Linked DNA regions of Macaca mulatta. The protein of the gene in region 1 purifies or fractionates together with the protein of each later gene. This does not show direct contact. Links are inferred from orthologs where the notes say so. Each region holds a gene or a part of one and is shown in the gene's direction. Other genes may lie near its edges.

Region 1 (3,500 bases):
CCGAGGTTGGAGTGCGATGGCGTGATCTCGATTGACAGCAAGCTTCGCCTCCCGGGTTCATGCCATTCTCCTGCCTCAGCTTCCTGAGTAGCTGGGACTACAGGCGCATGCCAACACGCCCGGCTAATTTTTTTGTATTTTTAGTAGAGACGGGATTTCACCATGTTGGCCAGGATGGTCTTGATCTCCTGACCTCGTGATCTGCCCACCTTGGCCTCCCAAAGTGCTGGGATTACAGGCTTGAGCCACCGTGCCCGGCTGATAATAACTTTTTAATGAAAACTTTTCCTGAAGTGTAGCACGTATTTCCTGTCTTCTGGGCAGTAGACTGGATGTAGTTTAGGCTGTTCTTGCAGATACATTTTTATCAGTAATGTCCTGTATTCTGCTTTCCAGTCATCAGCCTCTGCAGAGCACAGTGATGTTGACTGCAGTGGCTTGTTTCCAAAGTACAGCACAGCTGCCCCTCCATACCCAAAAGGGAGGGATTCCAGGAGTCCCCTTGACTGTCAAAATCCTCTGGAGCCTAAGTCCCCTTTATAAAAGGGTATAGTGTTTGCATGTAACTTGTGTACATTCTCTTTCCTGCTCTAAATCATCTCTAGATTACTTATAAAATTAAATACAGTGTAAATGCTATGAAAATAGTTGTTGGACTATATTTTTTGAAATTTTTATTATTTTTTATTGTTGTTTTTCCCAAATATTTTCAGTCTGTGGTTGGTTGAGTCAGTGGACATGGCGCCCATGGCTGTGGGGGCCGGCTGTGCTTGTTGTTGTTTTGACTGAGTGCGTTTGTTTATTCAGTGCCTCCTGTTTGCCAGGCCCTGCCTTGGCTCTGGAAGTGCAGTGAATAGAACATGTCTTCCCCACAGGGAAGTCTCTTCCGCATTTGAGCCCTAGCACCTTATGAAGCTGGCACAGCAGGGTGAGGCTGGGGTTGGAGGGACTCACGTGGTCTCAGAGCCAGTGGGTTGACCCCACGGAGACCCCAAAGCCCTCGACCCCTGCCCTGCACTTTCCTCTGAGCCGTGGGCCGGCTGTGACCAGGAAGTCTCCAGGGTGGGTGGACGTTCATGTGTCAAGTGAAACAGCCTCGACACACTTGGATGTGCTCTTCTATGTCTGTCGTGGTTTGTCATTCACGTTCCTGGTTCTCCCATAGTACGGAGATGATGAGGAACACGGAGCTGGCCCCGGAAGTGGATGTCGGCACCCTGGAGCCATTGCTTTCTGCACACGTGGTCTCTGAGCTGCTTGACACGTACATGTCCACACTCACTGTGAGTAGGGCCGGCCTGCGTGCCATAGACCACCGTGCTGGTTGTACAAGTAATTGGGCTTGGCAGCAGGCAGGAGGCAGGGTGGGAAATGCCTTCGCATTGACTTCCTAGGGTACGTTGCTCAGTTGCCCAGGCTCTGCTTCCAGGCCCTGACAGGTCCGTTTGCTAGAAGAGGAGATCTGGGCCTGGATCCGAAGCTTGTCCTCTGCTGGAGATGTGAGCCTGTGCCATCCTCGGCAGGCTGGCCAGGGCCCAGGATGTCTGAACCGTGTGTGGCGGCACCTGCCAGCTCTCGGCTCTGAGTCCCAGGGTCAGGGGGGGTCAGTCAAGGACCAAAGGGCAAGTCCATTTGCAGCTTGGTGACCACCAGGTGGTCTCAGAGTGAGAGGAGGGGGTCAGCAGGGTCTGCTTCTTAGACAAGGGTGTGTCCACCTAGCAAGGCAGCATTGTGACCAGAAGCAGAGGTGTCCTCAGGAGCTGGGGAAGGAGTGCTGTCTTCTCTTGGGACATGAGCTGCTGTGGTTGCTGAGTCTGGGCAGAGGAACAGGCCTGACCGGACCTGACTGGACCTGGTCAGCCTCGTTCTCTGTACACCTGGGACTCAGCGGCCTTGTCCTCCAGCATGAGGTGCAGCCAAAAGGGCATCTAGTTTCTTCTCCCTCTTTATCTGTACAAAGGTTCCAGTTAAATCCCTGCAGGCTGCCGTGGGCCCTGCCTCCCATGGGGGTGGCTCCTGGGTCCCTGCTCTGGAGTCCTCATTTGGGAACGAGGACTCTGGTGCCGTGTGTCTGGTTTCTGGAGCTGTGCATGCAGCCGACCAGGTGATTGGCATGACCCTCAGGCACCTGCTCTTCTCTCTTCTCTTCTCTTCTCTTCTCCATCATGCTGAACTTCCTTTAGTCAAACATCATCGCCTGGCTGCGGAAAGCACTGGAGACAGACAAGAAAGACTGGGTCAAAGATACAGAACCGGAAGCCGACCAGGATGGGTACTACCAGACCACACTCCCTGCCATCGTCTTCCAGGTATCAAATGCAGGGGATTGGCACAGTTCCATTTCCTAGTGGATAGTAGGACCTATAGGTTTTACAGAGTGACACAGATACCCGGGATCTTCATCCGCAGAGTGTGGTGAAAATATTGAGAGCCCTGCCTGGTGCATCTAAGTCCTCTGCTGTCTCTGTCTCTTTCTCTCTGAAGCTGCAGAAACCTGGGACGATACTTACCAAATAGTTTTGCCCAAGGTCACTTTACTTTTCTGACTGGGTCTTTATGGGTTTGGACTAGAGCCTAATTATATGTTATTTATGTGCGACTTTCAAATGTGAGTTTGTTTGGTTGATATCCAGGATTTGTCCTAAAAAATGGCACATGATTGAGTCTAAACAGGTAGATTTTGGGAGCGTCCATTATTTGTTTTGAGACGTAGTCTCACTCTGTCGCCCAGGCTGGAGTGCAGTAGCACACAGTCTTGGCTTACTGCAACCTCCACCTGGTGGGTCACGGCGTCCATTGGCTTTCAAAGTTGCTTTCCTGTTCGTTGGTTAAGGTTCTAAGTATTAGACTCACTTGCATTTTTACCACAGATTCACTTTCCAATGCCCGAGCCTCACTAGGTGTTAGACCCAGTGTGTTCTCACCACGGATTCACTTTCTAGTGTTTGACCACCCTGTGTCCTGTTTTTCCTGCTTTTTTTTCTTTTGGCTCATCATGTGTTTTAATTTGAGTGGCATTGCTGAGGGATGGAGCCCAGTTGTGTTAGAATCCTCACTCAGGACTCTGGTCAGGCAGGAGTGAGGGCTGGTGGGTGACATTTCTCTCTGAATGATACCGTTGGTTATTGACAGGCTAGTCCAAACCCATTCCTTTGTTTGGAAACGGATGCTGTGAGAAACTCTGTGAGGAGAGCCCAGTGAGCTCTGTCCCCTTGTCCTTCCTCTGCCTGTGTCAGCTGCTGGCAGGGCCTGGCACACCCCAGGTCCAGATTCTTAGGAACTCTGCATCATGACGGTCACAGGGCCAGGGAAGGTGAGTCAGCCGCCTGAGGGGCGCCATCCCTGGTGAGGCTTCACTCCACACATTAGAACTCCAGTCACGTAGTGTGAGGACTGACATGGCCCCCATGGGAGAAAGCAGTTTGCCAGGAATTAAGAAATAAGTCACTTGGTACTTTCCCAGGTGAGAAAGTTGTTTTTGTTTTTTTGTTTTTTGTTTT
Region 2 (3,500 bases), on another chromosome or scaffold:
GCAATGAAGGTGAAGATAGAAGGGTATATTAGACTTAATGAAATAGAAAAAAGGGTTTTTTTGGTAACAATCTTAGAAGGAGTTTACCTTTTAGAGACTCAGAATTTCGAATGGATAATGACTTATAAAGTAGTTTAGCCAGGAAGCACCCTGTAAGCCATTGGCTGCATACCAGTGTTTAATGGCATGGAGGTCAGAAACCTGCTATAAGGTATTCTAGGAGTAATGGAATAAACTCGATAACTTCTTGAAGTGGCATCAAGCCTTCACTGAAGGTAGGTGAAGAGAGTCTTAGAATTATTTAATTACTCTGAGCCAGAAAGCTGGCCTGTAATTTTCATGGCCACCCTGACTCTTGCATGATAAATACACAAAGAAGCAGACAGCTAGGCATCACCTACAGACAGAATACTCATCGTCAGAATACACCAGAGGTACTGGTATGTGTTTTCTCTGCTTGTTGGAAGTCTGATAGTATGATTTAAGAAACAAGGGTAAATTGCCACATTATTTTCTTCAGAAATACTTTGATAAAATATCAAAAATATAGAAATATAACAGGGTTTTTGATGCAGGTATTTGCTATTCAAGTGTGAAATCAATTTAATTACATTTTTAGTGAATAGCATGTCTTTTTCTAAAATTTCTAAAACAATATTAACTTTCTTTTTCTACAGCAATCTTTCCCAAAGAAATTCCCCATGTCTCAGTCAGTGCCTCATATTTACATTCAAGTTAAAGAATTTATTTATGCCAGCCTTAAATTTTCAGAGTCACTACACCGGAGGTAAGTTTACTAATCACAAATGCATTTTTGTCATAACTTTTATGAAACATTAATACTTTGTTTTTATGTCATAACTTTTTTTTCCTCAACTTTTATTTTAGGTTCATGGGGTACGTGTTTGTTACAAGGGCATATTGTAGAATGCTGAGGTTTAGGGTATGCTTGAACCTGTCACCCAGGTAGTGAGCACAGTACTCAATAGGTAGTTTTTCAACCCCTGCCTCCCCTTCTTGTAGTCCCCAGTATCTGTTGTTTCCATTTTTACATGCATGTGTATCTAGTGTTTAGCTCCCACTTATAAGTGAAAACATGCAGTATTTGGTTTTCTGTTTCTGCATTAGTTTGCTTAGGCTATTAGCCTCCAGCTGCATTCATGTTGCTGCAAAGGACATGATTTTGTTCTTTTTTATGGCTGTGTAGTGTTCCATGGGGTTTATATACCACATTTTCTTTATCCAATCCAACATTGCTATCAATGGAGAGGCGCTACTTGGAACTAGTGGGTAGAGGCCAGGGGTGCTGCCATAGACACCTATGTCTTTGCTATTGTGAATAGTGCTATAGTGAACATATGGGTACATGTGTCTTTTTGGTAAAATGATTTATTTTCCTTTGCATATATCCCCAATAATGGGATTGCTGGGTTGAATGGTAGTTCTTTTTGTTTGTTTTTGTTTTTGTTTTGTTTTGTTTTGAGACAGGATCTCACTCTGTTGCCCAGGCTGGAATGAAGTGGCACAATTATGGCCCATTGCAGCCTCGACCTCCTGGGCTCAAGTGATCCTCCCACCTCAGCCTTCCAAGTAGCTGGAACCACAGGTTAACGCCACTACACCTGGCCAATTTTTGTATTTTTAGTGGAGACGAGGTTTTGCCATGTTGGTCAGGCTGGTTTCGAACTTCTGGCCTCAAGCAATTCACCCACCTCAGCCTCTCAAAGTGCTGAGATGACAGGCACAATCTACTGTGCCTGGCCCACAGAGTTTTAAAAGTAGTATTTTAATAAAAAGTAAAAGGATACAAAAATGTTAGCTTATATCTAAGGCAGTAGTTCTCAACTGGGGATAATTTTGGTTCTCCTGCCACCACCTCCTCCCCACAAATTTGGCAATGTCTAGAAACATGTTTGGTTGTTACAGTTCGGGGGAGAGGCGCTACTTGGAACTAGTGGATAGAGGCCAGGGGTGCTGCCAAACATCCATATGTGCAAGGCAGTCTCCACAACAAAGTATTATCCACCGTAAAATGTCAATAGTGCCGAGATGGATAGTCCGTGGTCTAAGGACAGTTTAACTGTTGTGATAATGAGGCTGTATCCAAGGAATCATTATTTACTTAAATTGAAGGCCTAATGGTTAGGAGAAAAGAATTTGTTTTTTAGTGCTAGCTTAGTAATACTTAGGATGTTAAGAAACATCATATTAAAATTAGTTTAAGGTAATTTATTTCTTTGACGACTTAAAAAATCTTGATGAAAATGTATAACTTAGTTATATTAAAAATTAAATTTGTTAATTATATCTAGAAAGAGCTCATGTCAGTTTGTATTTTAAAAATAATTTTTAGCTGTAGTTGTGTAGGAAGTTTCTTTCAAAGTGCCTGTCTTTTGGGGCTGGGCGCGGTGGCTCACGTCTGTAATCCCAGCACTTTGGAAGTCCAAGGTGGGAGAATTACTTGAGTCCAGGAGTTCAAGACCAGCCTGGGCAACATAGCGCAACCCTGTCTCTATAAAATATTCGAAACTAGCTGGGCGTGGTGGCATGCACCTGTAGGCCCAGCTACTCAGAATGTTGAAGTATGAGAATCGCTTGAGTCCAGGACTTTGAGGCTACAGTGAGCTATAATTGCACCACTGCACTCCAGCCTGGGTGACAAAGTGAGACCCTGGCTCAAAAACAATAATAAAAATAATAAAACGGCAAAGTTACTATCCCATGATGGAGTTGGAATTTAGGAATAGTTTTATTTCCTTATACCAAGTCCTCCATGATTTTTCTGTAGTTGTTAATTGGATACATTTAAATTATGCCATATATGAATATTCTACTTTATGGAAAATGTCCCTTTTGCAAAGTTAAATTGAAGTTTGCGATTTAATAAATATGGGTCATTGTAGTTTATTTAAGGATATAAATTAATGACTTGGGGAAAATTATTTTAGTAAATTGTGTTAAATTATTTAGGATGTTAACTAACCATATTCATTATTTTTTATTAAAGTTTGTAAAAAGTTTAATAATATCAGTCTTTCTGTTTAGCTCAACAGAAATAGACGATATGCTTAGAAAATCAACAAATCTGCTGCTGACCAGAACTTTGAGTAGCTGTTTACTGAACCTTATTAGAAAACCTCATATAGGTTTGACAGAGGTAGGTTAAAAAGACACATATAGTGAAGTGTTTCATTGTATGAAACAATTATTTTAAATTATTGCTGAACATCATTTTGTAAAACTAGCTTCCTGTTTTAAATGTATTAATGTAAGCAGATTTGTTTTCAAAATGAAAATAACCAGTGTAAATTCCAGAAATGTGAGGATGCCAGGCACAGTGGCTCACACCTCTAATTTGAGAGCTTTGGGAGGCCAAGGCAGAAGGATTGCTTGAGGTCAGGAGTTTGAGACCAGCCTGGGAAATATAGTGAGACCCTGTCTCTACAAAAAATGAAGAATATTAGCCAGGCGTGGTATTGTGCAACTGTATTCCTAGCTAC
Region 3 (3,500 bases), on another chromosome or scaffold:
TTTGTATTAGTTTCCTAGAGCTGCTGTCACAAGGCCCCATAAACTGAGTGGTTTAAAACAACAGAAATGTGTTCTATCCCAGTTTTGGAGGCTAGAATTCCAAAATCAAGGCATCGGAAGGACCATTTTCTCTCTGAGACTGGGTAGAATCTTTTGTTGTGTTTTTCTAGCGCCTGCTGGTGATCAACAATCTCTGATGTTCCCTGGCTTGCAGCTGCATCACTCTATTCTCTGCCTCTGTCATCGCATGGTGTTCTCCCCATGTGTCTCTGTATCTATTCTTTTCGGCTTTTCAGGACACCAGACATACTCTATTAAAGTCCCACCCTCCACTGATAGGATCACATCTTAATTTAACTAATGACATCTACAATGGCCCTATTTCCAAATACAGTTACATTCTGAAGTTCCATGAAGGACATGAATTTGGGGAGACCCAGTACACAACTCATAAGTCAGATATTATTCTGTAGAGCACTTCTCATTTTAAGCCCAGAAACCCTAAATTAAAAGTGGGAACTGTGCACCAAGAATCTTCATGCTTTTGTTTTTTGTTTTTCGGGTTTAATCCTGTGCTAGATTATACCCTAAGGGGGAATACTAATTTATTGTTCTCAATTCCTGCTTTTTTTCCTGCTTCCCATTGCCTCTTTGTTCAGGATTCATTTGAAAGCTGGTTTTTATTCTGGACATTTTTCTTCTGGAATGTTCTGTAGCTTTTTTAAGGAAAATTTTTCTTACCTGTTATCATAACTTATGGAAAGGTTGGTTTCCCTTCATTCTTATGAATTTGAGACAGTAGATTCAGAAACCAGCTTTGGTGTGCTGGTGATTAAGTTCTGGTAGTTTCCTTATAAGGATATTTTGTATACACCCTTACAGGTTTGTAAGTCAGGTTCAATAAATGGTAATAGTTATTTTTATTTTCTATTGTTATCATCAATGTTAAAATAGCAGATTTTGAGAAATGTGATACTACCTCAAATTCCAGACCTGGGACCTTGTCTTTTCCCTTGAAATATAAGAGTAATTGGTCCAATTGTGTCAACCCATTTTCTTTTCTTTATTTTACAGGGTGCCCGGGAAACATTTGAGAATTACTACCGAAAACAGAGGCGAAAACAGGCTCGTTTGGTACTTCAACCTCCATCTAACATGGTAGGATTACCATTTTCACTTTTCTCACATTTTTACTTTTCCTCCTTGATGTCTTTTGATGCTTGTGTGTGTGTGTGTGTGTGTGTGTATACACTGTCATTCTGAGACCACTTTTGGTGGATGTGACTTGCAGTAAGAAAACATTATTCATTGATTGCTGTGTGTCAGGCACTGTTCTAAGTACTGGATGTGTGCTGCTGTATTTCCTCTTCATTGGTAGATAATATTATTATTTTTACCTTATCAGATGTCATGTAGGGAGCTGAGCCTTAAGAGATTAAGTGACTGATTTTAACTTAGTCTTAATGTTACAAAACACAAACAGTAACTTCTTCTTCTTTGCTTTGTTGCAGCATGAAACTTTAGATGGCTACAGGAAGTATTTTAATCAAATTGTAGGGTAGGTATATATATATATATATATATATATATATTTATTTATTTATTTATTGAAATTTATACTCTTTCCATACATAGATTTGTGAGTGTTGGAAAAATAAATGAGGTTTTCCTTAGTAAATTCTTTTCATTTTTTTTTTAATCCTTAAGACAAGATTTGTTTTTGATTTTCTAATGATTTAAAAGGAATATCCTGCTGGTTTCAACATTATGTTGCTGGAGGGCATTTTTGTGGATAAAGTGAGAAAAACATTGAATTGTAATCTTATTACACTTGATGTTTTGTTTCTTTGTTTTTGGTAGATGGAACCAAATAATCAGCAAAAGTTGGCAAACTTTTCCCAAAACGGCCAGATAGTAAAATATTTTAGGCTTAGTAGGCCATATGATCTCTGTCACAACTGATTAGCTCTGTTGTTACAGTGCAAAAGTAGCTGTAGACGATACATAAATGATAAGCATGGCTATGTACCAATAAAACAATCTTTATAAAACAGGCAGTGGGCTAGGTTTATCCCATAGGCTATATAGTTTGCCACCCTCTTCTAGAATATATATAGTGGTATGGAATTGCATTTCCCAAATAAACATCCCAATACAGGCATCTTGTTCTAATTGCAAAATAATGACTTTGCAGTTAAAAGAAAAGGAAATAACTTGGATTCTTCATCAGGTTTATTTTTTTCAGATTTAAATTGTTTCAATGTAATTAGTTATTAAAATATATCATAAAAATTCCCTAATAAAGACTTTTTTTCATTAATATGAACATTTAGACAAGACAATGAAAGCTACATTTTAAATGCATAATAACAAAAAGCCACAACAAGATTGTTCAAACATAACTTCGCATTTTTGAAACCTTTATACAATGCCTTTTCAGCACTTTGGTGACAGAGTCCACATGAAGGGAATTATTTTGATATTTTGTGCATTGGATTCTTAAAAGATATATATAAAGAATACATAATATATATGATGTATATATTAGCTTTTGTGATCTCTTTAAAATTTGTTTTTTTGAAATGTATTGATAGCTGGGTATTTTCTTAATAAAACAAAATTTGCCTCCATTACCTCTACACATTTTCCTCCCTTTTAAACTACTGGATATCATTGTTAACATTTAATAGAAATTTAATAGAAATGTAACTCTAATCTCTCTAGGAGTGGTTATGAAGATATCATGATCACAGACATAATTTTTAATCCAAGTAGCCTGATTTCATTTATGATACTGAATAACTTTCTTCAAGAAAGAAATGACCACTAACTTTGCCTTTGATGGTATCTCTTAATGCTTGTCAAACCCCAGAGAGAGTAATAAAATTGTAATTTCTGACAGCTGTGCTTTCTTTTTTCCTCAATCTTAGCTTTTTTGTGGTTGAAGATCACATTTTACATACAACCCAGGGCTTAGTAAATAGAGCCTACATTGATGAACTGTGGGAAATGGCACTTTCAAAAACGATCGCAGCACTCCGTACCCACTCGGTATGTAAGAAGCCCAAGGGAACTTGTTATTTAGAGCTGATTATCTATATACTATTCAGTGTTTTACCGCTTTAAAATCAACATATGTGTGTCTTTGGAATCACTCACTTGGAATTATATATGTCCTTCAAAGACATAGAAGTAGCTCCTTCAGATTATCACATTTTCTACCACTGAACTCACTTTTATAGAAGCCCTTTGCAATAAGAAAATAGCAGATAACGTCTATTGATTATTCTCTCTATGTGTCAGATGTTGTTCTGTTTACTTCATATATACTCTCTTATTTCATCCTCACTAAACCCTAGAAAGGTAGGTATTATTATTATTATTATATTTACCTTATAGTCTGGGAAATTGAACCTCAGCGAGGTTAGGTAACCAGCCTAGTGCCATACAGTAAGAAGTAGAAGTCGGATTGAAACCCAGATGGTCTGACTCTAGAGCCC
Region 4 (3,500 bases), on another chromosome or scaffold:
GGGTTTCCGAGCTGTCAGGCACTGGTGGGCTCAGGACCGATGTCAGGCTCTAGGGAGTCAGGCTCCGTTGACGTCGGTTCCCACTTCTGAGGAGAGGGGCAGGGAGGCCTCCCAGGTGGTGAAGCACTGACCTCAGCATCCCTGGAGGTAATTGGGCGCCTGACGGGTTTGGCGGCTGCCAGATCTGCATCCCTGACCCACGTCCTGCCGGCGTGCACCTGCGTCCGCGGCTGCTCCGGCTGCTCCTGGTGGGTCGTGGGGCGGGAATCCAATTCACTCATTAGTGAGCCTCGCTCGCTGAAGGGGAGAGCACGAGCAAGGCAGATGTGAGCCAGGCCGCGGAACTTGGTTATTAGGAGCTAATTATGGGCCGAGTATGGTGGCTCACGCCTGTAATCCCAACACTTCGGGAGGCCGAGGCGGGCGGATCACCTGAGGTCAGGAGTTCAAGACCAGCCTGGCCAACACGGTGAAACCCCGTCTCCACTAAAAATAGAAAAAAAATTAGCTGGGTATGGTTGCACACGCCTATAATCGCAACTACTCAGGAGGCTGAGGCAGGAGAATTGCTTGAAACCAGGAGGCGGAGGTTGCAGTGAGCCGAGATTGTGCCATTGCACTCCAGCCTGGGCGACCCAGCAAGACTCTGTCTCAAAAAAAAAAAAAAAAACAAAAACAAAAACAAAAAAGCTAATTGTGATGTCATGCGGTGCGGCGCAGTGCAGTGCAGGTGTAAGCAATGAGCCTCCAGACACTGCCCTTTCTGCCTCAGCTTTCTGGGGAGCTGCCAGGACACAGCAGCCTCACTGCTCAGATAGACAGTAGGAGGGTGGAGGGCATCCCGGGTGCCTTCTTGCCCCCATACATTTTGTTAACAAGGCAGCTGCACTTGTCTACTTGAGATGCAGGTTTATTTCCCCACGTTTTCTGGCCCAAGATGTCTCATTCCCATAAAGGAGGCGGACTCAGGTGGCTGTGGGCGCTACCATTTTGTTCTCATTGTTTCCACTTGTGATACTAACTGTTGTTTTTTTCCCCATGCCAAGAGCATGTGCCCTCTCCTTCTGCGCACACCCTCCAGGTTCTCTGTGTGGTGACTTCTGTTAACCCCTTCTTGACTTTTGGATTTTTTCTTGTCCCTTTGGTTGTTTGGGGAACTCTAACGTGTGGGGCTAGGCTGCCTCTGGGTCTCTGAGCCGTCCGCCTTGGGCACCGCGCTCCCCGGAAGTTCAGTCAGGGTGGCTTCCTGCTGGCTGCTGTTTGGCGTACGTCCCAACACTGAACGTGCTCGGAGAGCTCTGCCTGGAGTTTGGGGCTGGGCTGGGGGCCTGCTGGCTTCAGGGTACCCCCAAGCTCTGCCACCCTGGTTGTGCCCTCTTGGTGTGCAAGCTTTGTCACTGGCTCCTCCAACCTGAGCCCTCGCCTGTTCTGACTACAATGCCACTCGTATTTTTGACTTCTCCTGGTGGATCTTGTTCCATCTTCATTATCCTCTGTCCTTTCAGAAATGAACTGAAATCCAGAACAAGGAGGGTCAGTAGTAGAATCAAGGCTCCATTTGGAGAAGGAAATTATTCTTTTCCTTCGCCTTTGTCCCCAGGGTCTCTGGTGGTCCCAGGGAAGGGCCTGCTCACTGTTGGGGGGCTGGGTGTGGGGCCTGGGGGCAGGTGGAGGGCCGCTGCTGTTTTCTCTCACTCATTTCCTAGGTCTTCTTATCTCCTCTCTGTGTGGCTCTGGTGACAGGGACGATCCGTAAGGCTCAGAACCTTCTGAAACAGTATTCCCAGCATGGTCTAGATGGGAAAAAGGGGGGCTCTAACCTCATTCCTCTGGAAGGTAATCACCCTGTGTTCCCCTCCTGTCCCTTCCTCCTCCACTGTGTGTCCACGCACTTGGCAGGGCAGAGCCTCCCCCAGGAGGGCCTCGGGAGAAACCCTGAGGGGAGCAGGGTGGGAATGGCAGGTCCCCAATGCCACTTGGGCTTCAGCAGGCGCAAGGACAGTTTCGCGGCCCTCGGCCTGGTCCTCTCTGGCTGATGGCAGCTCTGCCCTCCCTGGGGCTCCCTCCTCCCTCCCCTGTCTCTGTCCTTGTCTCCTGTGTGAACTCAGAGAAAGCTCTTTGTCTGGGGCAGCCTTTCACGCTCAGACCCACAGTGGCAGCCCCAGCTGGCCGAGGCCTCCCCTCTTCAGAAAGGGGAGTGTGTGCAGCAGGCGACAGGCAAACTGGGGCTTTGCGCAAATACGGCAAGGTGGGGAACCCCCCTGGGGTCAAGCATCAGCTCTTCAGCCCCTCCTTGGTCCTTCTCCGCTTTCCCTGGGCCTCCAGACTTGGGGAAATGAGCAGCTAAGGACGGTCCTGGGTGCTCACTGAAGTCAGGCTTGAAATGGCTGTTCCCAAGGTGGCTTGAGGTAGAGGAGGGGCTCAGAGCCCTCTCTGATGCCCCCTTCCCCATCCCCATCTGACATCCCCCTCCTGGAGATGAAGGGCTTCTCCCTATACCCCAAGGGGCGGCCTGCCGGGCCCCTGGATAAACACTGCTTGTGTTTATGCGGCCAACATCTCGCCAGGTCACGAGCATGATTTCCGAGTTAAGCACCTGTCCGAGGCCTTGAACGACAAGCACGGGCCACTGGCCGGTGAGTACTGCAGCCCAGCCCGAGGGCAGCTGCTGACACTGCCTTCGCAGCGGTCCCCGGATGGCCTGCTCCTGTCTGGCCCAGCCAGGCCCAGTCTGCTCTGAGGATGGGCCAGGCCTGTGCGCCTCTCTCTCCACTCTCTTTTGGGCCTAGGTCTCCTTGCCTCTCTCCAGATGGGAGTGCGTGCCTGGCTCTCAGGCCTGGGCCAAGGGGAGAAGCCGCTGCTACTCAGAAAGCAGGCAGAGAGGGAAGGTGGCTCCCTTGAGGGCAGGGAGCCCTGACGTCTGCCTCCTGCAACAACTCAGAGCTCTGATCCCCTCGGAGCCCATCCCTTGGCACATAGGACCAGGCAGTTCTGCCACTGGTTTTGTCCACAGGCGCCCCCACTGTGGCCTCCAGTAATAGGATCTGGCCTTCTCCTGGGGCAGCTGGCAACCCCTCCTCTCTGGGACTTACCAGCCTCTTCTCAGATTTTGACCCCATGCCAGCCAGCCTCAGAGGCTGCAGCCTACCGCCCTCTTAGATGTTCCAGAAGCCCTGGCTGGGCTGGTCACTTCCTTCGCAGGCCCCACATTTGCCCACATGGATGACCCCAGTGCCAGCCTCCTTGAGGTGGCACAGCCACCTGCCCACCCTGGGCTGCCCTCTTTCAGGTACAACTCAGAATCCTCAGTCCTGGGGTCAAACTACCTTATCCAGGATGTTGATTCAGTGATCTTCCCTCCTTATCCTTCCGTCCATCACCCTCCTGCCTCTGGTGTCTGATCCCACTGTCTGCGCAGAGCTGAGAATGAAGCCAGAACAAAGGCTGGGCTCAGCTCCTATTGTTCCCCTCGAACCTGGCGGGGCCTGCTGGTGCCCTTG
Region 5 (3,500 bases), on another chromosome or scaffold:
TTTTGTTACTCTACTTTAAAGGAAATTTAGCAACATTTCACCTTTAATCTTTTACACACTTAAGTAACATGAAATGTTGTGTTTTTTGTTTGCTTGTTTTGGTCTTTAACTTTGTAGGCTAACATCCAGTCAATCATGGCATCTGAAAAACAAGTCAACATCTTGATGAAATTGCTAGATGAGGCTCTAAAGGAGGTAGATCAGATTGAATTGAAGCTGAGCAGTTATGAAGAAATGCTCCAAAGTGTAAAAGAACAAATGGATCAGATCTCTGAAAGCAACCACCTAATTCATCTTAGTAACACTAATAATGTAAAACTCCTATCTGAGATAGAGTTCCTTGTGGTAAGTATGATCATAAATTACCACCACCAACAACAAAAAAAACTAGTGATGATATATAAAACCCATTTGTAAACATTTTCTAATTTCCTTATGAGAACAGGATTTAAATTAATTCCAAAGACCTAATGATAGGATTGAGTAGCATCTTGCCTGTAAATTTCCCAGAATTATACATGCAAATGGTATGTTTGCATATATTCTAGAACCACATGGACTTGGCCAAAGGTCATATAAAGGCCCTTCAGGAAGGAGATCTTGCTTCTTCCAGAGGCATTGAGGCCTGCACCAATGCTGCTGATGCCCTTCTGCAGTGCATGAATGTAGCTCTTCGACCAGGTATGTTCATTAGAAATGACAAAAATGTGACCAAGAATCTGAGACTAAGCCTGTAACTTGTTATAAAGATTTTGACAAGAAATACGTGAGACAAGTGGTTTAGGGTTACATTATTAGCTATTCAAGTTTCACTGATTTCCCGCTTATTTCTATTGATACTATGAACTTTTTTACTTCAGTTCCTCCTTCTAGTTGACCTCAATGACTATAGTCAACACCAGGATCTTTATTTAGTACTATCCGCAGAACCCAGCAGAAAGTAGGTGCTTTGGTTAGACCAGAGAGCGTAAGGTTTTTCTAGGCAGGGATTTCAAAACTTGAGTGTCCATCAGAATCCCTAGAGGTCTTGTTAAAAACATAGATTGCCTGGCTCCAGCCCCAGATTCAGCAGATCTGGGCTGAGGCTTTAGAATCCACATTTCTAACAATTCCCAGGCGATGGTGAGGCAAGACCACACTTTGAGAACCACTGTGCAGTCCCATTTTTCTCCTGCTTAACTTTTATCAGGTAAATGAATACACCCATACAACTTAGGGGTTATTCAAAACTTTAGATATGTTTAATGTTCCATTAAACATCAAGGAAATCTTTTTACCCGTTAAACTGGTCACAAAATGTCATTCTGTATCAGGCCATGACATGCTTCTGGCAGTCAAACAGCAACAGCAGCGATTCAGTGATTTGCGAGAGCTTTTTGCCCGGAGACTGGCGAGTCACCTCAACAATGTTTTTGTTCAACAGGTAATTTTATTTTATTATTAAGACGAGCATGTTCCTATAGCTTATTTATGTATTATCTTAACCTTACATTTCCACAAAAAGGTTAATAATGTTTAATTGGGGTTGCAATCAATTCCTTCACATATTTGATTTTAATATTTTGAAATAGGTGCCTCTTTGCTCATAGATGTATTTTGGGCCTCAGCTGCCTCTTTCAGTAGACAGTCTAGTTCCCTTCAGCTGATGCTCTCTGATTCTAGAAATCAAATAACTGTGCATATTAATTGCATATACTACTTAGATATTTTTACTTATAAAAGTAAGTCCAAACTTGTTAGATGTTTACTATTGGACTTGTTTTATTTTTCAATATTTTGAGGTGAGACTTAGGACTTGATTCAGTGTCTTAAATGTTTTGTAAGTTCTATGTACTTAGAACATAGTATGCTTGTTAAGAAAATGACTATGGCTCAACCATAAATTTCAGTTGATCTAATCTTCATATAAATGCTTTGCCTATATTTTTATATGGAGAAGGATGTTATAATTAAGAGTGTGGTAATAATATTGTTATTAAAAATATTAAGAGTACCTTTGGGAGATTTGAATAAAAGCCATTTTAATATCTAATGTAATAAATTAGGTTTCTTATTTTTTCATCTCTTTTAAAAGTCCCTTTTATTTTATTAGAGTTACTGAATGAAAAAAAAATTGGGGGGATATCTTGTTCATCAAGAAATACTGCCTGAAAACAGTGGATTTTTACTTTATTTTCACTTTGCAATATTCTAAAACAATTGTATTTACTATATTTTATTTCCAATTAGTTTACTCAGGCCCTCCTTCAACTCTATAACAGGTCCTACTTTCTTTCGGTTCCTGTGAGTACATCAAATTTGGCTCAAGCTTCTCTGATTCTGTTTTGTTTTTTTTTTTTCTATAGAGTTTGCTAAACTTAACAGCAGCAGAATCTTTACAGATTATAACTTACTGATTTAAGCTACTTGTTAACCACATTCGTAGCCGGTTTTTAATGTCCCATAGTAGAGACTATTTGGGCCAAAAAGGCATTTAATCTCATTCTGCTTGCTTTTCTTTCTGTCATTTTTTCAACTCACTTCATTTATTTAGTAATAAATAGTAGTAGTATTCTTCATTTAGTAATAATAGTAATATTACTCCTTCATTTATTTAGTATTGCCAGGTGGTTGAGGTACATACCAGACATTGACTTGGGATAAATGAGAGACCAGTCCTGTCCTCAGGTAGTTCACAGTCTAGGGAAGGGAGACAAACAAATAATATACTCAAGAGGGATAAATGTTACGGTGGTGAGACTGTGGGAGCATAAAGGAAGACCACCTAACTAAAAGCACAGTAAGGGGAAATCAGAGAAATTCCCTTAACATTCCACTTGACCTGAAAAGTGTCAAGAAAAAAGTAAGCTTAGATGTCACATAGGAACTACTAATTCGTGTTTTTCTTAGGTAATTACTACAATAACATCTATTCCTATACAGTTCCTTAGTTTGTAAAAATGACACTGTTGACAATTATGTTATCCACATTTGTAGATAGTATTGAAAATATCAGCCAATAAACAATAGTCTTTTCTGTACCCTTAACTGTTTGTTGTAACCTGCAGTTATTTATGATTTTGCTTCTTGCCTTGTAAACTAATGGCTTCGTTTAAAATGAATGCTTCCCGTTTCTGAAAAGCTAATATGTGTTATTACATGTGAATGATGCATGTTAAATACCAGAATGCTGTGACAACCTAGGATGTGCCAAAAAAGGTGGAAGAAGATATCCCACGCATAAGAAAGAGATTTTCTTAGTGTTGCATTCAGTGCATCAGGTCACCTAGCAAAATTGTTGAGAAACATGGGTATGTCTATTCCTGGTAGGGGCACAAGCTGGGAAAGTTGATTAAAATAATATGGTGCACCTCTTTGGCAATCACAAAATTTTCATTGTATGCTTATTATGTACTCACTGTCTACCATATGTGAGAATAAGAAATAGTTCGTACCCTCAAGATGCTTGTAAGAAGAAGTTAAAACTAATGTACTTACTCTTTGTAAGGAGTTAAGACTAA
Region 6 (4,288 bases), on another chromosome or scaffold:
TCTCCAATAGTGTATCTCCAAAATGATAACAGACGCCTGTATAAAGGAGATTGGTACTTTAAACACAATTTAATATGATATCTTAATTTGTTTGTAGGTTGTTTTCTGTCAACTCAAAAACAAGCATGCTGGTGGTATACAACTGTATCTTAAACTTCACCCTATTCACGTGCAGGAGTAGATTATTATTTCAAATAAGGATTTCTCAAATTTAGCATGTAGAAAAAGAATCGTTTTAAAAGCATCACTGAAGATCCCCACTGCAACACACGAGCTCACTAAAGTGGGTTCCTAACGGGAAAGAGAGGAGGGGAACGCACATCCTTTGGAGGTTACTCTGCGTCCTCAGCACTTTCTTAGGGGCAGATTTGGTTGCTTTTCCCTTCAGGGTCCTACAGCACTATCATAAGGCAAATCAGGAACTTGTTATTTTCAAGTTTAGTGAGATTCAAACACAAATCTCTTTTCTCGTTAGGGCCCTGAGTCCAACCGTGGCGGTGGGGTCTACACAGCTTTCTTATTTTTCGAGTGGGAGAAAAGGTAAGAAAAAGAGAAATACGCCAAGGCAGGAATTGCCAGGTCCAAAACCAGACTCCCCCCTCATTTAATGCCCCCTGGGACCGTCGGACCAGAGAAAGGAGAGAAGACCAGGACCGGGGGCTGCAGGAGAACTGCCAGTCCCGCCTCTTTCCCCAGCGGGGCTCGGAACTCACAGGGTCATTCGCACGCTCCACTTCACCTCGACGGCCTCCAGCTGGCCCCAGAAGAACTGGTCGTTAAACTGAACAAACAGGGCCTGCAAGTCCGGTGTGGGGTCCACCAACTCCCACGACGCGTCCACTAGCGACAGGGACTCCTGGGCCTGATCGCGCTCCGCCTCCTGCAAGTTCCACTCCTCCTGAAGCCGCAGGGCCAACATCAGGTCATCGTCCATCGTTGCCAGGATCACAGGCGGGATCCGCCGGTGTCAGGCTGGCTCCGAGTTAGGCTGCGACCCCAAGCCGCCTAGCGGAGGACCAGGACTAGCTCCTAGGAGATACCGGCTCTCGAGACGGCCAGTCAATCCCGCGAGAGTTCGCGGAAACTCGCTTGAGAAAGAGAACGTGAACGAGAACGGCGCTTACCCCAAACGCCGAAGCCAAGATTCTAGGGCTTTAAAACAAGCAGTCAGCACGACACCTCCTAGTGGGCGCAGAACCTGGGCTCACAGGGCACCGGCCCTACGAAGCTTTCAGGAAGCTAGTTCCAGCCTTTACTCTTTGCCGGTTATTTCAAACCTCAACGTCACGCTCGGTTCATGCGCAGTACTCAAATTGCTCTCGGCCTCTCCACTCACTTCCGCACTAGCTCCTCCGGCGCATGCGCCTTAACTGATGGCATTCCTGCGCAGGCGCAATGTCTGCGCCTGGCCCCTTGCGCAGGCGCAGTGTCTGACGCTCAGACCCGGCGCAGGCGCACTCGTCTTGTTCCAATTCCTGCTTCCTCAGCCCAGGAGCTCGGTGGGTCTTGGGTGGGTGTAGACAGCCGCGGCGGCTGCGGCGCCGATAGTGACAGTGAGTGCGTGAGACCCGGACGGAAATGGCGATGGCGATGTCGGACAGTGGGGCGAGCCGCCTGCGTCGGCAGCTGGAGTCAGGGGGTTTTGAGGCGCGGCTGTACGTGAAGCAGCTCTCGCAGCAGTCGGATGGGGACCGGGACCTCCAGGAGCACCGGCAGCGCATCCAGGCGCTGGCGGAGGAGACGGCGCAGAACCTGAAGCGCAACGTCTACCAGAACTACCGGCAGTTCATAGAGACGGCCCGTGAGATCTCCTACCTGGAGAGCGAGATGTACCAGCTCAGCCACCTGCTGACGGAGCAGAAGAGCAGCCTGGAGAGCATCCCGCTTACGTTGCTGCCTGCCGCAGCTGCCGCCGGAGCCGCTGCCGCGTCTGGCGGGGAGGAGGGAGTCGGTGGGGCGGGGGGCCGAGACCACCTCCGAGGCCAGGCCGGTTTTTTCTCCACCCCCGGTGGCGCCTCCCGCGACGGCTCCGGTCCAGGCGAGGAAGGAAAGCAGCGCACTCTCACCACCCTGCTTGAGAAGGTGGAAGGCTGCAGGCATTTGCTGGAGACGCCGGGACAGTACCTGGTGTACAACGGGGACCTAGTGGAATACGATGCCGACCACATGGCCCAACTGCAGCGGGTGCACGGCTTTCTCATGAACGATTGTTTGTTGGTGGCTACCTGGCTGCCGCAGCGGCGGGGGATGTATCGCTACAACGCTCTCTATTCCCTAGATGGTTTGGCCGTAGTCAATGTCAAGGACAACCCGCCCATGAAGGACATGTTCAAGCTGCTTATGTTCCCCGAGAGCCGTATTTTCCAGGCCGAAAATGCTAAAATAAAACGAGAGTGGCTGGAAGTGCTGGAGGAGACCAAGAGAGCCCTCAGTGAGAAAAGGCGAAGGGAGCAGGAGGAGGCAGCGGCCCCTCGAGGGCCACCCCAAGTGACTTCCAAGGCCACTAACCCATTTGAGGATGACGAAGAAGAAGAGCCAGCTGTTCCTGAGGTAGAGGAAGAGAACGTGGACCTCTCCATGGAATGGATCCAGGAGTTACCTGAAGACCTGGATGTCTGCATTGCGCAGAGGGACTTTGAAGGGGCTGTTGACCTGCTGGATAAATTGAACCATTACCTGGAAGATAAGCCTAGCCCACCTCCTGTAAAAGAACTAAGGGCCAAAGTGGAGGAGCGAGTTCGACAGCTCACTGAGGTGCTGGTTTTCGAACTCTCCCCAGATCGTTCCCTGAGAGGTGGTCCCAAGGCTACTCGCAGAGCAGTTTCGCAACTGATCCGGCTGGGCCAGTGCACGAAGGCCTGTGAGCTATTTTTGAGAAACAGGGCAGCCGCTGTTCATACAGCAATTCGTCAGCTTCGCATTGAAGGCGCCACTTTACTCTATATTCATAAGCTGTGCCATGTCTTCTTTACCAGCCTTCTTGAGACTGCAAGAGAATTTGAGATTGATTTTGCAGGCACTGACAGCGGCTGCTACTCCGCCTTTGTGGTCTGGGCAAGATCAGCCATGGGCATGTTCGTGGATGCTTTCAGCAAGCAGGTGTTTGATAGTAAGGAGAGCCTCTCAACAGCAGCTGAGTGTGTAAAAGTGGCTAAGGAGCATTGCCAGCAACTGGGTGATATCGGACTGGACCTCACCTTCATCATCCATGCCCTTCTGGTGAAAGACATCCAAGGGGCCTTGCACAGTTACAAAGAAATCATCATTGAAGCCACTAAACATCGCAACTCTGAAGAGATGTGGAGAAGGATGAACTTGATGACGCCAGAAGCCCTGGGGAAGCTCAAAGAAGAGATGAAAAGCTGTGGGGTAAGTAACTTTGAGCAGTACACAGGGCATGACTGCTGGGTGAACCTAAGTTACACAGTGGTTGCTTTCACCAAACAGACCATGGGCTTCTTGGAAGAGGCTCTGAAGCTGTATTTCCCAGAGCTGCACATGGTACTTTTGGAGAGCCTGGTGGAAATCATTTTGGTTGCTGTTCAGCATGTGGATTATAGTCTTCGATGTGAGCAGGATCCAGAGAAGAAAGCTTTTATCAGACAGAATGCATCCTTCTTATATGAAACAGTCCTCCCTGTGGTGGAGAAAAGGTTTGAAGAAGGTGTGGGGAAACCTGCCAAGCAACTCCAAGATCTGAGGAATGCATCTAGACTTATTCGTGTGAATCCTGAAAGTACAACATCAGTGGTCTAATGCTTGGGTCTGTTTATATGTATGTATATATATAGAGAGAGCGCTTATATATTATTTATATTTATATTAAGTTGTATTAGCATACTCTTTATAGTTTCAAACACAACTTGAAAATTAAAAGTGCCCTCTTAGAATACAAAAATCAAAAAGAGGAAAAGAAGTTAAATTAAGCCCAAATAACAAAAATACTGGAATTATTAAAACATATAGTATGCTAGCTATCCTTTTAAATTATGCTGATTCTCTTCTGAAATTATGGTCACACTATACACTATAGCATTTCAGTTTCATCCTTTGATAAAACACTTTTTGGTTTTTTTTTTTTTTTTTTGAGACAGGGTCTCACCCTGTTGCCCAGGCTGGAGTACAGTGGCAACGTCACAACTAACTGCAGCCTTGACCTCCCAGGCCCAGGCAATCCTCTCACCTCAGCCTCCCATGTAGCTGGAACCACAGGCTGGCACCACCATACCCAGCTAATTTTTGTATTTTTTGTAGAGATGGGGTTTTACCATGTTGCCCAGGCTAGTGT

What was found.
Region 2: the proteins of EXOC3 (region 1) and EXOC6 purify together in Homo sapiens (affinity purification with mass spectrometry; 6 studies listed by BioGRID and IntAct, counting the BioPlex papers as one, with this or other methods). This does not show direct contact. The link is inferred for Macaca mulatta from reciprocal best matches to the Homo sapiens genes EXOC3 and EXOC6.
Region 3: the proteins of EXOC3 (region 1) and EXOC6B purify together in Homo sapiens (affinity purification with mass spectrometry; 3 studies listed by BioGRID and IntAct, counting the BioPlex papers as one, with this or other methods). This does not show direct contact. The link is inferred for Macaca mulatta from reciprocal best matches to the Homo sapiens genes EXOC3 and EXOC6B.
Region 4: the proteins of EXOC3 (region 1) and EXOC7 purify together in Homo sapiens (affinity purification with mass spectrometry; 5 studies listed by BioGRID and IntAct, counting the BioPlex papers as one, with this or other methods). This does not show direct contact. The link is inferred for Macaca mulatta from reciprocal best matches to the Homo sapiens genes EXOC3 and EXOC7.
Region 5: the proteins of EXOC3 (region 1) and EXOC1 purify together in Homo sapiens (affinity purification with mass spectrometry; 5 studies listed by BioGRID and IntAct, counting the BioPlex papers as one, with this or other methods). This does not show direct contact. The link is inferred for Macaca mulatta from reciprocal best matches to the Homo sapiens genes EXOC3 and EXOC1.
Region 6: the proteins of EXOC3 (region 1) and EXOC8 purify together in Homo sapiens (affinity purification with mass spectrometry; 5 studies listed by BioGRID and IntAct, counting the BioPlex papers as one, with this or other methods). This does not show direct contact. The link is inferred for Macaca mulatta from reciprocal best matches to the Homo sapiens genes EXOC3 and EXOC8.

Annotation. Positions count from the first base shown.
Region 1 is NC_133411.1:1,553,441-1,556,940, forward strand, and holds part of EXOC3 (exocyst complex component 3), read left to right. Parts: intron 1-1,165; coding exon 1,166-1,283; intron 1,284-2,183; coding exon 2,184-2,309; intron 2,310-3,500. UniProt on the Homo sapiens protein: Component of the exocyst complex involved in the docking of exocytic vesicles with fusion sites on the plasma membrane.
Region 2 is NC_133414.1:104,902,644-104,906,143, forward strand, and holds part of EXOC6 (exocyst complex component 6), read left to right. Parts: intron 1-677; coding exon 678-787; intron 788-3,045; coding exon 3,046-3,157; intron 3,158-3,500. UniProt on the Homo sapiens protein: Component of the exocyst complex involved in the docking of exocytic vesicles with fusion sites on the plasma membrane.
Region 3 is NC_133418.1:52,234,098-52,237,597, forward strand, and holds part of EXOC6B (exocyst complex component 6B), read left to right. Parts: intron 1-1,074; coding exon 1,075-1,158; intron 1,159-1,511; coding exon 1,512-1,558; intron 1,559-2,930; coding exon 2,931-3,051; intron 3,052-3,500. UniProt on the Homo sapiens protein: Component of the exocyst complex involved in the docking of exocytic vesicles with fusion sites on the plasma membrane.
Region 4 is NC_133421.1:85,822,251-85,825,750, reverse strand, and holds part of EXOC7 (exocyst complex component 7), read left to right. Parts: intron 1-1,743; coding exon 1,744-1,849; intron 1,850-2,484; coding exon 2,485-2,636; intron 2,637-3,500. UniProt on the Homo sapiens protein: Component of the exocyst complex involved in the docking of exocytic vesicles with fusion sites on the plasma membrane.
Region 5 is NC_133410.1:77,601,710-77,605,209, reverse strand, and holds part of EXOC1 (exocyst complex component 1), read left to right. Parts: intron 1-117; coding exon 118-345; intron 346-548; coding exon 549-681; intron 682-1,313; coding exon 1,314-1,423; intron 1,424-2,229; coding exon of another isoform or gene 2,230-2,283; intron 2,284-3,500.
Region 6 is NC_133406.1:17,695,224-17,699,511, forward strand, and holds EXOC8 (exocyst complex component 8), read left to right. Parts: upstream 1-1,488; 5' UTR 1,489-1,578; coding exon 1,579-3,756; 3' UTR 3,757-4,085; downstream 4,086-4,288. Other genes in the region: DNA-dependent metalloprotease SPRTN, read right to left, coding at 714-934. UniProt on the Homo sapiens protein: Component of the exocyst complex involved in the docking of exocytic vesicles with fusion sites on the plasma membrane.